Saccharomyces cerevisiae S288C: one gene and its partners. Changing the gene in region 3 together with the main gene of any one other region gives a genetic interaction. Each region holds a gene or a part of one and is shown on either strand. Other genes may lie near its edges.

The links.
Region 1: mutations in PRM6 (region 3) and RBG2 together harm fitness more than expected from each alone (negative genetic interaction), as found in Saccharomyces cerevisiae (one large-scale study listed by BioGRID).
Region 2: mutations in PRM6 (region 3) and AFG2 together harm fitness more than expected from each alone (negative genetic interaction), as found in Saccharomyces cerevisiae (one large-scale study listed by BioGRID).

What each region holds. Positions count from the first base shown.
Region 1 is NC_001139.9:842,247-845,460, reverse strand, and holds RBG2 (Rbg2p), read right to left. Parts: upstream 1,608-3,214; coding exon 501-1,607; downstream 1-500. Other genes in the region: transporter YIP1, read left to right, coding at 1,870-2,616; methionine--tRNA ligase MSM1, read left to right, coding at 2,910-3,214.
Region 2 is NC_001144.5:912,050-916,789, forward strand, and holds AFG2 (AAA family ATPase AFG2), read right to left. Parts: upstream 2,844-4,740; coding exon 501-2,843; downstream 1-500. Other genes in the region: tethering complex ATP-binding subunit VPS33, read right to left, coding at 1-261; SKI complex RNA helicase subunit SKI2, read right to left, coding at 3,107-4,740. UniProt on the Saccharomyces cerevisiae protein: ATP-dependent chaperone which uses the energy provided by ATP hydrolysis to generate mechanical force to disassemble protein complexes.
Region 3 is NC_001145.3:179,347-182,765, forward strand, and holds PRM6 (pheromone-regulated K(+) transporter PRM6), read right to left. Parts: upstream 1,730-3,419; coding exon 671-1,729; downstream 1-670. Other genes in the region: GSF2 (Gsf2p), read left to right, coding at 1-291; PRP39 (Prp39p), read left to right, coding at 2,128-3,419. UniProt on the Saccharomyces cerevisiae protein: Low affinity potassium transporter that, with KCH1, participates in high-affinity Ca(2+) influx system (HACS) activation during the response to mating pheromone. Directly promotes K(+) influx and HACS may electrochemically respond to this K(+) influx.

The DNA.
Region 1 (3,214 bases), on a different chromosome or scaffold from region 3:
TTGGATCTAAACCAATTGTTCAGATACTTATACGTTAGAGTAGGTTAGCTAAGGAAGGCAGAGTTTTATTTTCATGTTGCTCATTCTGTTCGTTTTGCTGTAAGGTTGTTTCATATGTGTTTTATGAACGTTTAGGATGATGTATTGTCATACTGAGGTATCCCATTCTGAGATACAACAGAGAAGGTTCCTTTATACTTACTACACTAGGTACCACTATTATAATTTCGAGATTTCATTGTCATTCGGGTTTATTTATTCATTTGAAGCCCAGAATGACAATTTTTATGAACGGAGCTCTTCAAATTACATTATAAAAGTATATACGAATATACCATGAAAGTAACACCTTCCGGTTCTCACTAAAAAACCTATTTTCAGCATTTATTTCTACTACAAGGAAAATGAGTCCGTTTAGTCATGCAAAATCTCTGCTCCGTACTACAGTTCTCGATGCTGATCTTGTTTTTTCATGTTTCTTTAAAATCTATTCATTTATACTATTTCGCGAATAAAGAAACTACATCTTCATCATCAATCCTGTGGTTTAAGCCGCACTTCTGAGGAGAATGTTTGGCAGAAGAACCCCAAACCAATGCGTATTTGAACTTATCTTTGAAATCCCTGTGGATACCATGACATAAGTCACCAATAGTGGAATTATTTCTTACCACTAGAGGATCATCAAATACTGGTCTAACACCTCTCTTCTTTGTATACACACGACTCAAGTTCAGCTGGTACCAAATTTCTTCAACGACGTCTTGTAATCCCAAATCCATTTCACAGGACATAACAACGGTGTTTGGCTCTCTGGCAAGTTTATCCACCTCTTCTAATGATACTGCATCTATCTTATTATACACATAAAGACATTTGACATAATTTCTATGTTGTTCGTTAATAACATCGATAAAATCATCAATCGTACATTGGTCATCTCTTACCAGAACTTCTGCATTATGGATACGATAATCTCTCAAGATCATTTTGATTGCCTGTTCGGTTAAATTGGTCTTTGGAGGGGAGGTAAACGTAACTTTCACGCCACCAGTTTCTTTTTTCTTATAGTAAATATTTGGTTTCTCTTTATTAAGCCTGATGCCTACATTTTCCAGCTCCTTCTCCAAAGATGCTCTTTGATGTTCACTCTTTGTGGCATCTAAAACCATTAATACTAGATCTGCGGTCCTTGCTGTTGCAACAACTTGCCTACCACGACCTTTACCCTGCGAAGCACCATAAATAATACCTGGAAGATCCACAATTTGGATTTCTGCACCTTGGTACTTCAATACACCAGGAACGGATGTCAATGTCGTGAAAGCATAATGAGCGATCTCAGACTTGGTGGTGGTAATTTTACCCAATAAGGAGGACTTACCGACGGAGGGGTAACCTATTAAAACTACTCTAGCGTCACCTGATTTTGCCACTTCAAAACCAGACCCTCCTCCACCACCACTACCAGCTTCATCAGCTAGCAGTTGTTGTCTGTATCTAGCCAATTTCCCCTTCAAAAGACCCAGATGATGTTCTGTGGCCTTATTTTTTTGGGTTCTGGCCATTTCTTCTTCGATGGCTTTGATTTTGTCGATAATACCCATTTTGTAGTGCTTGTTACGTTAGTTTTGATAATGCGTATCTCGTTAGTACTTGTTCAATTCCAATATCAACAGCTTCAATATTGTACGACTTTTATAACTGGGTTTAAATCTCATCGCTATTATCACGAAAATTTTCACTTCGGGTAACCATTGATTATTTTGCTATTTGAGTGAGGTAACTACGTGACACGAACCAAGTCATCTTATAACAGCTACAAATTGGACGGGAAGTACTGCAAGACAACTATTAGTCCCTCTCGAGATGTCTTTCTACAATACTAGTAACAATGCTAATAATGGCGGTGGCTTTTATCAGCCTTCTGCACAATTTGCCGTTCCCCAAGGGTCAATGAGTTTTCAAAATACCGTCGGTTCTTCTAATACTGGCAACGATAACAATTTGGGTGTTGCCCCCGACCCTTTGCCTGTAGGTATTTTACATGCTCTTTCAACTAAGGGATATCCACATGAACCTCCATTACTGGAGGAAATTGGAATAAATTTCGATCATATCATAACGAAAACTAAAATGGTTCTTATACCAATACGTTTTGGTAGTGGTGTGCCACAAGAAATTCTAAACGATTCAGATTTGGCTGGGCCTTTGATATTCTTTTTGTTATTCGGACTTTTTCTATTGATGGCTGGAAAGGTTCATTTTGGATATATCTATGGTGTCGCTTTGTTTGGTACCATTTCTTTGCACAATCTATCGAAATTAATGAGCAATAACGATACTTCCACTCAAACGAACCTACAATTTTTCAATACAGCGTCCATCTTAGGATACTGCTTTTTGCCTCTGTGTTTCCTTTCTTTACTGGGCATTTTCCATGGTTTGAACAACACTACAGGTTATGTTGTATCAGTACTATTTGTAATTTGGAGTACTTGGACCTCGTCTGGATTTTTAAATTCTTTGCTCCAATTGCAAAATGCAAGATTGCTAATTGCCTACCCACTGTTGATTTTCTACAGTGTTTTTGCCCTCATGGTAATTTTTGTCTGAAGGGAATTGGCTTAGGGGCGATATTTGTATATATGTTTTTCTGAACTATGTTTGAATAAAGAGTGTATACAGCATTACATAATCACACTTACTTCCTTGTATAGTGCAAGCAATACCAGTACTAGGCAACATTGGATTACGAAGTGCCTTCTCTTTCTTTAAAAACTAAAACGTAGTCCAATGGTGGTTTCAAACAAATAAATCCGCACAACTGTGAAAAAAGAATGTAAATTTTAATGTTACTATTCTCCAGAGGTAAATAAGGAAAGCATAGGTTTTGATCGAAAGAAAACATGCAATGTCGATCAATTGTGCATCGTCTGTACTCTAAGGTCTCCCACGTAACGACGCCAATTTTCTATCCCAATGCCAAACCGCACCTCGGCCATCTTTACTCCAGCTTATTAAGTGACGTTTACCATCGATGGCAATTATTTAAAGGTAATCTATCCTTCTTTACCACAGGTACTGATGAACATGGATTGAAAATCCAGTGTGCTAGTGAAAGCAATGGCTTCGATCAGCCAAAAAAGTTCGTCGATAAGCTATACCCAGAGTTTGTTCAATTAGACAAAATATATGGCATTAATTATACAAG
Region 2 (4,740 bases), on a different chromosome or scaffold from region 3:
AATAAGAAAAATAAGATCCATTTGCGGAACGCTGCCTAAGGCACTCGGTAAATCGTCACTTAGCTGATCATCGAGTAACGTAATTTTCCTTACAGGAGTTGATTGAGTCAAATCTTGGAAAGTTAGCAAACTATTGAGTACTGGCAATACACTTGGTTGAACCACAAGAACTTCATCATTTTGAGATATCTCATTTAAGGTAGCACATAGTCCATCGGCATTTGTTAATGAAAATTTCTTAGTATTCCAAAATCTATTCATCGTGAAATGATTTGATAAAGTTGGAGATGGGCAATATCAGCTTTTTCTTCCTTTCTCGAATTTTCTATCTTTTAACTAATTAACATATAACTAGTTCCAATTTGCTAACCTTTATGATATTTTATTTATGTATGTTCGTGTGAAGTGATTAATATATTATACAAAATGACCGGAGTTCAGTATAATTTCTATCTACTATTATTGAGCACACAAAGGAAAAGAATTGACTATGAACAAGCTTACGAAGATGAACCGCTTCTTAGAGCAAACTCTTCATAATAAGAGAGCATTTCTGGAGTAATGCCCCTAGCAATTCCTTTAAAAGCTTTCTCAAAATGACGTAATTCCACTTTTGCGACATCTAAATCTTCCATTATGGCAGCCAAGCCCGCTTCTTGACAAAGCAGCACAACTTCAGCTCCGGAATAACCTTCTGTACGGTCTGCCAATTCATGAAGATCGACTCCAGACTCTTCTGTATTAAATTTCTTTGTGCACTTCTTTAAGATTTCCAAGCGGGCGTTTACGTCTGGAGGGCCAACGTAAATGTGTCTATCTAACCTACCAGGCCTTAGAAGAGCAGCATCTATTTCATCAGGTCTATTCGTCGCCGCTACAATAACTACACCCTTTAACTCTTCAACACCATCAATCTCATTGAGTAAAGATGTGAGCACGTGATTAGCTGCAGAGGTGGAACTCCCGTCTCTATCAGGAGATAATGCATCGATTTCATCAAAGAAGATAATACTTGGAGCTGCAGAGCGTGCTTTGCGGAAAATTTCTCTTATAGCTCTTTCGGATTCCCCTACATACTTGTTAAAAATTTCAGGCCCTTTCACAGCTAAGAAGTTGATACCCGATTCTGTAGCGAGAGCTTTTGCGGTTAATGTCTTGGAGCAACCTGGCGGCCCGTAAAGTAATACACCTTTTGGTGCAGAAATTCCCAGCCTGGCAAAAGTCTCCGAAGCCTCCAAAGGCAACTGTATCATTTCTTTCATCTTTGTTTTAAGCTCTTCTTGGCCGCCAATGTCAGACCAATAAACTTTTGGCATTTCTAAGAAGATTTCTCTCATTGCGCTGGGTCTGATATCAACCATGGCGCTCTCCACATCTTTCAATGTAACTTTTAGGGAAAACTTGTCAATATTGGCGTCTGTTCCTAGTCCTCGTTGTATCGTCTTCATAACTGATTCTCTGCAGAGAGCAGTTAAATCAGCACCAACATAGCCATGCGTTTTAGAAGCAATGTACTTGATCGCTTCAGAATCTAATACGTGACGATCCGAGGACATTCTTGAGAATTGCTTAGTTAAAATGTCAAATCTGGCATCAACGTCTGGTATACCAATTTCTACTTCTTGGTCAAACCTGCCAGGTCTCCTGAGAGCAGGGTCGACAGAATTAGGCCTGTTTGTAGCAGCAATTACCACCACTTTACCTGCAGCGCCCATGCCATCCATTAGGGTAAGCAATGTAGCCACGACTCTGCTCTCAACTTCACCGGAGTCATCGTTTGCTCTATTTGGTGCTATTGAATCAATTTCGTCAATGAAAATAATGGAAGGCTGGTACTTCCTTGCTTCATTAAAAATATCTCTTAATGCCGCTTCCGTTTCACCAAGATATTTGGAGACGATTGAGGGGCCATTAATGGTTAGGACGTGTGCGTTGGACGTATTTGCTACAACTCTCAAAAGCATAGTTTTACCAGTACCTGGGGGTCCGTGAAGAAGTATACCTCGAGGGGGAGAAACACCAAAGCTACTAAATAGCGTCGGTTGATGAAGAGGTATTTCAATAGCACTTTTCAGTGATTCAATCTCCTTGTCTAAGCCGCCCACTGCTGCATAGGATAAGGGCTCCGGAAGATTGTATTTACGATTTGCCTGGGTTTCTTTCGAAAAAGTTATATGTGTGGAGCCTTTTCTGAATATAAAAGGTGGAGATAGATAAAACAGGTTATCTAATCCACCGTACATATCGTCCATGTTAAGATCTAGTTGGCTGACGTCGGGAAGCGAATCATCGCTCGCATCTGTAATTACGACATCAATGCTTTCATCACCTGCTTTTGTTTTTAAGTTTTGAAAAATCATTCCAGGCATTATAACGCCACTATCATCCAGTAGCTTTTGAATTACTTTTTCCTCCATACATTCCAAAATATTATATCCTTGTAAGGACCCCACGGTAACCTTAGTGGCATAAGGTGGTTGCACCTGGGCTTTCTTTAATTCTAGACGATCACCAAGGATAAGGTTCCCAACAGATCGTATAGTTGTGGAAAGGGTGATAACATTAACAGGATGTACTTCTTCATCACCCGCTCTAGCTATTACTAAAATACCATTTTCGCCTATCTTACCGACAGTACAAAATGATCCCGGATTTATCTCAAGCGAGGATAATACGTTAGGATGAATATATGCTGTGCATGTTTCCTTGCCATGATCTTTAGAAGGATGTGGTCTGGTAATAAATTCAGCAGGCAATTTAAATTTGGATGCTTTTGCATCAGCACTATTAGAACTTGCCGATGATTTCTTTTTGGAACCGGAAGAACTAGATTTAGGAGCCATTTTCCTTTCTATGATTGGGCAATTTTGAGAATGGGCAATGTTGAGAATTCAATTGTATATTGTTCGCATATTAGTTTATGTGATGAGGCAATATAAAATTTTCTTACAATAGTCCGCCCGTTGCTTACATGAAAGAAAAAAAAAATAAAGATGGATCGAAGTGGACTTAAAAACTATGTATACGTGTGTGTGTGTGTGTGCAATAAGAGTTCGAAAACATTAACTTTTATAAACATGACTCACATTGAGAATAAATGAGCTCTCTATAAATACAAACTTGCGGCGAAAACAATATCTCTCTTAATCAACTCTTGAGCCCTGCTCATCTTCATATGTAATGTGGAATTACCAATAATAATAGAGGCAGTCTTAACTTCGCGGCAAATTTCGTCTAGCCAAGTGATAACTCTGACTACAGTACCTTCAGCCTCGGGGCTCATTTCCATGATTTCTTTGAATGATAAACCACGGGCCCACTCATACACCACATTCATCATGGCAAACCTTTTTCTGTCCAAAAACTCAGCTTCATCCTGAGTTAATGGAATCTGATGCGTATTGAAAACACAAAGCATTTTCTTGTAAATTTCCTCAATTCTTTGTTTACCCTTTGCTAGCCTTGGTGTGACAATAGGAGGCTCCTCTTCCCTGGTTTTCCCCTCATAAACAAATACTGATAATAAGGCTACAATCTCTTCAGGTTCAAAGCTTCCTAAAAAGTTGTCTAAAATTAATTCAGTTAAAACTAACTCATAACCAGAATTAATTTCACATGCCACTCTACCTTTTAACAGCACGTTGTGGTTTTGGTCGATAAATTCAGTGTCTTTCAGAACAGCCAATCTCTTTTCATAATCGGGTAGTAAGCTCAGATTTTGGTCAGACATCAAATGGTACAATTCTTCAATTTTCTTTTTAATTACATGCGCCTTAAACTTGGGAACAATGTGTTGGCTTAGGTTGGGACATTTAATGCTTTTTAGTTTGAATATCTCATCCCTTATATTTGTACGGTCTAACAATATTTGGTGAATTTTTAAACCTTGCTTTTCAATGTTAATTGCTTCTTTTAGCGTTTTGCCGTCCAAAATGTTATTTGTTTCAGCGTTAAACTCGTTCAAAGCGGCAACATCCTTTTTAATCACTTTTCCCAAGGGTGCGGCAAACTTGCGTTTAGTGATCACTTCAATAGCCGTCACAGGAACTTCTTCCATATAAAAATCAGTCTTCTGGAATTTAGGGAAGTTCCTTCTTCTGTATCCATCCGCTTTTGGAAAGTATATTAAATGATTTGGCTCACCATTTGGGAGTTTGTATGGTTTTGTGAACGTCATAATGACACAAACAGCATCCTTCAGAGAAACTTTAAATACAAATCCTAATTTCAAGCAATCATTGGGGTCCCTAAAAGCAACGAGTCTGCCCTCTTTCAAGATATGCAATATCGAAGGCGATTTAACCATTTCTTGCATTAGGTTGACTGTTGCCTCCTTATATGCCAGCATCAATTCCAAAAACTTTTCGATATCATTATCACAGATTTCACAACTTTTGTACTCTATGGTTTGTAATTCCTCTTGTAATACTTTGATTTGTTTTTCATGTTCAGGTTGTAAAGTTTCTTTGGCATTCTCACTAAAAGAATACTTGATCATTTCTTCAACTCTCAACGCCTCAATTCTTAAAAGATTTAATATCATATTGTATGTTAATCTAAACTGAGACTGCAACCTCGTCGGAACACCCATCGTTACTTCTTTGAACGTAGCAATAGATAAAGGACTATTATATGCCATCACAATGACTGTACCAGTGGAATCCAAGCCCCTTCTACCAGCTCTACCAGCCATTTGGGTAAACTCACCTGGAGTCAGTTCTCTTAATCCATTACCATCAT
Region 3 (3,419 bases):
ACTGCTTCCACTTTCACGGCTATTAAAACCGAACGGAAATTCATTTTAAGTGAAGAATACTTTGTGGAGCTGGAAAACAATCTAAAGAAGATCTTGGAAGAGTATGACGGGGATATTGGTAAGATGAATGCTGAAATTAGGAGGTTTAGAAGGTTTGGTATTTATGAACCAGATGAAAAACTGGCCTCGCTAGTTAAGCTCAGAAGAGAAATTGCTGATGAGAAAGAGAAAGCATCAAACAATGATGCTACTTTTGGTATAAAAAAGAATGATTTGAAAAAATCTAATTAATTGTAAAACCAAAACACTACCATCCAGACTTTTTTTTTATTCAACCATAGCCTTTAACTACTACTACTACTACTAGTACTACTACTATTACTATTACTATTACTACTACTAGAGGGCCTTTTTTTACTCCTAGTATTTTTGTACTATCCTATTTACTCTCGTTGTTTTTATTAGTTTTTTCACTCTTTTTTTCAATTCCTCACGAATCTACTGTTTTCGTAGTGCTTTTTTTTGTTTCATTGTTTATAGCCATCAATGGTTTTTGTTACTATCATTATCATTATAAATATTTCATACAATATATACAATATATATACAATAAATGAGAATCGATTTACTTTTAATGCATTTTTGCAGTCAAAAAAAGCTTCGTTTACATTTATATGTATTTATGTTTGTATTTCTGGGGGAAATATGCCTTTATGGGCGTATATACTCTTTCGTACGTTTCTACATCCGAGTAGCAGTAGTAACTCGGTATTGTGCTTTCGTCGCCATAATCAGGACTATCATAATCGAATTTTTTTTGCGTTTTGTTGTCACCACATATGGTCCCTTCTTCCTCATCATCTATCAATATTCCCAATTCGTAGACAGTTCTACTTAAATTCTCGTCAATGACTTTAGACACATACTTTCGTAGTTTCAATTCATACCCCTTAACCTTCCTTTTACTAGACAAAAATCTCGGACGTATAAAAATGATGAATATTATTATGCTTAGAATTAATTTGCTTATTAAAATTACCCATATGATAAACGAGAACAACATGAAGGACAAGATCACACTTTCTTCGTAATTTGTCTTAGCAATATGTTTTATCTTGTTTATTATTCCATTTAGGTCATCTAAATTACCTAGGCTTTGAGTACTATGGGTTCCGCTACTGGTCTCATTCGAAACTGTCAGTAAAACTGACCACAAAGTTAATCCGTTGATTATTTGCCTTGGAGAGTCACCGAACAATAGCCTCAAACATCCACTGATTTCAAAATATGAAAAGAATAACCACTTACTGAATTTTTTCTCATCAGTCAGCACTATTAGTTCGAAAATTTGATACTTTTTGAAATTGAACAAGCAATTTATTAATCTGCTAATGCCATTCATGTAGTTCGATGTAATCTCTTTCTTCCTATACACTCTCAATCCAATTACCAACTCCCAAATTAATATTAATGAGGAGCATAATATGCATCCGCTAAACAACCATTTTGAAATACGGAATTCCAAGAATGGTTGGATGATATTGTTCGACCATGTGTTAAATGCCAGTAATTTAATACACGTGTATATATCAGAAAAAAACATGGCCACATGTAGTATCGACTGACACCAGGTGTATAGAATATACTGTAATTTTGTGGTCCACTTCGCAGTAGGAATAAGATTTATGTCAATATCCTGGAATTTCAATTTTTGTAAACTTGATTCCATTATTTAGCGCTTTGTTGTCATTTTCCTTTCCCTCTTAGACAATGTGGTAAAAAATGCCAGCTCCAGGGCTTTCAATTAATCCATTATTGATTTTTAATCTGGAGGTTTGAGCATGGCTGAATAATTTATATACAAATATCTTTTTTTATTGTTTCAGATCATTCGTTTTCAGTATGATTTACTATCATTCATTTTCTTTTTCTTTACCATTTTACGTCGCCGTCGCACATCTTAAAACAAATTTAATACAGAGTTGAAAGTTTCAGACTTAAACAGAATTTACGCAAGAAAGTTTTCAAAGTCCTAAAGTAAAAACGCGCCTTCCACAGCCATTTCTTTGTTCAACAAAAAGTTTTGGCCCTTACTGCTATTGGATACTTGGCAATCCGTCTTTCGTTATGCCAGATGAAACAAATTTTACAATAGAAGATATTGAGCCTAGGCCTGATGCCCTTCGAGGTTTGGACACCCAGTTCCTTCAAGACAACACAGCATTAGTACAAGCATATCGTGGTTTAGACTGGTCAGATATTTCTTCGTTGACCCAAATGGTAGATGTTATAGAGCAAACAGTGGTTAAATATGGCAATCCAAATGATTCAATCAAATTGGCCTTGGAAACTATTTTATGGCAAATATTGCGTAAGTACCCTTTATTGTTTGGATTTTGGAAGAGGTTTGCTACTATTGAGTACCAGTTATTTGGTCTCAAGAAATCGATTGCTGTTCTGGCCACCTCGGTCAAATGGTTCCCAACTTCTCTGGAGTTATGGTGTGATTATTTGAATGTGTTGTGTGTTAATAACCCGAACGAAACGGATTTTATTAGGAATAATTTTGAAATTGCAAAGGATCTTATTGGCAAGCAGTTTCTATCACACCCTTTTTGGGACAAGTTTATAGAATTTGAAGTTGGGCAGAAGAATTGGCATAACGTTCAAAGAATATACGAGTACATTATTGAAGTTCCTCTACATCAGTATGCGCGGTTTTTCACATCTTACAAGAAGTTTTTAAATGAAAAAAATTTGAAGACAACAAGGAATATTGATATAGTTTTACGAAAAACACAAACAACAGTAAATGAAATTTGGCAGTTCGAATCGAAAATCAAACAGCCCTTCTTCAACCTGGGCCAAGTGTTAAATGATGATTTGGAAAATTGGTCGCGATATTTAAAATTTGTGACGGATCCTTCAAAATCCTTGGATAAAGAATTCGTAATGTCCGTTTTTGACAGATGTTTGATTCCTTGTCTTTACCATGAAAATACGTGGATGATGTATATTAAGTGGCTAACAAAGAAAAATATATCCGATGAAGTGGTAGTGGATATATACCAAAAAGCCAATACGTTCTTACCACTGGATTTCAAAACTTTGAGGTATGATTTTCTTAGGTTTTTGAAAAGAAAATATCGGTCAAATAATACCTTATTCAATAACATATTCAATGAGACAGTATCGCGTTATTTAAAGATTTGGCCCAACGACATATTACTTATGACGGAGTACCTTTGTATGTTGAAAAGACATTCTTTTAAGAATTCCTTAGATCAATCGCCAAAGGAAATTCTAGAGAAACAAACATCGTTTACTAAAATCCTAGAGACATCAATCACCAACTACATCAATAATCAAATTGATGCCAAGGTGCATTTACAGACCTTAATAAATGATAAAAACTTAAG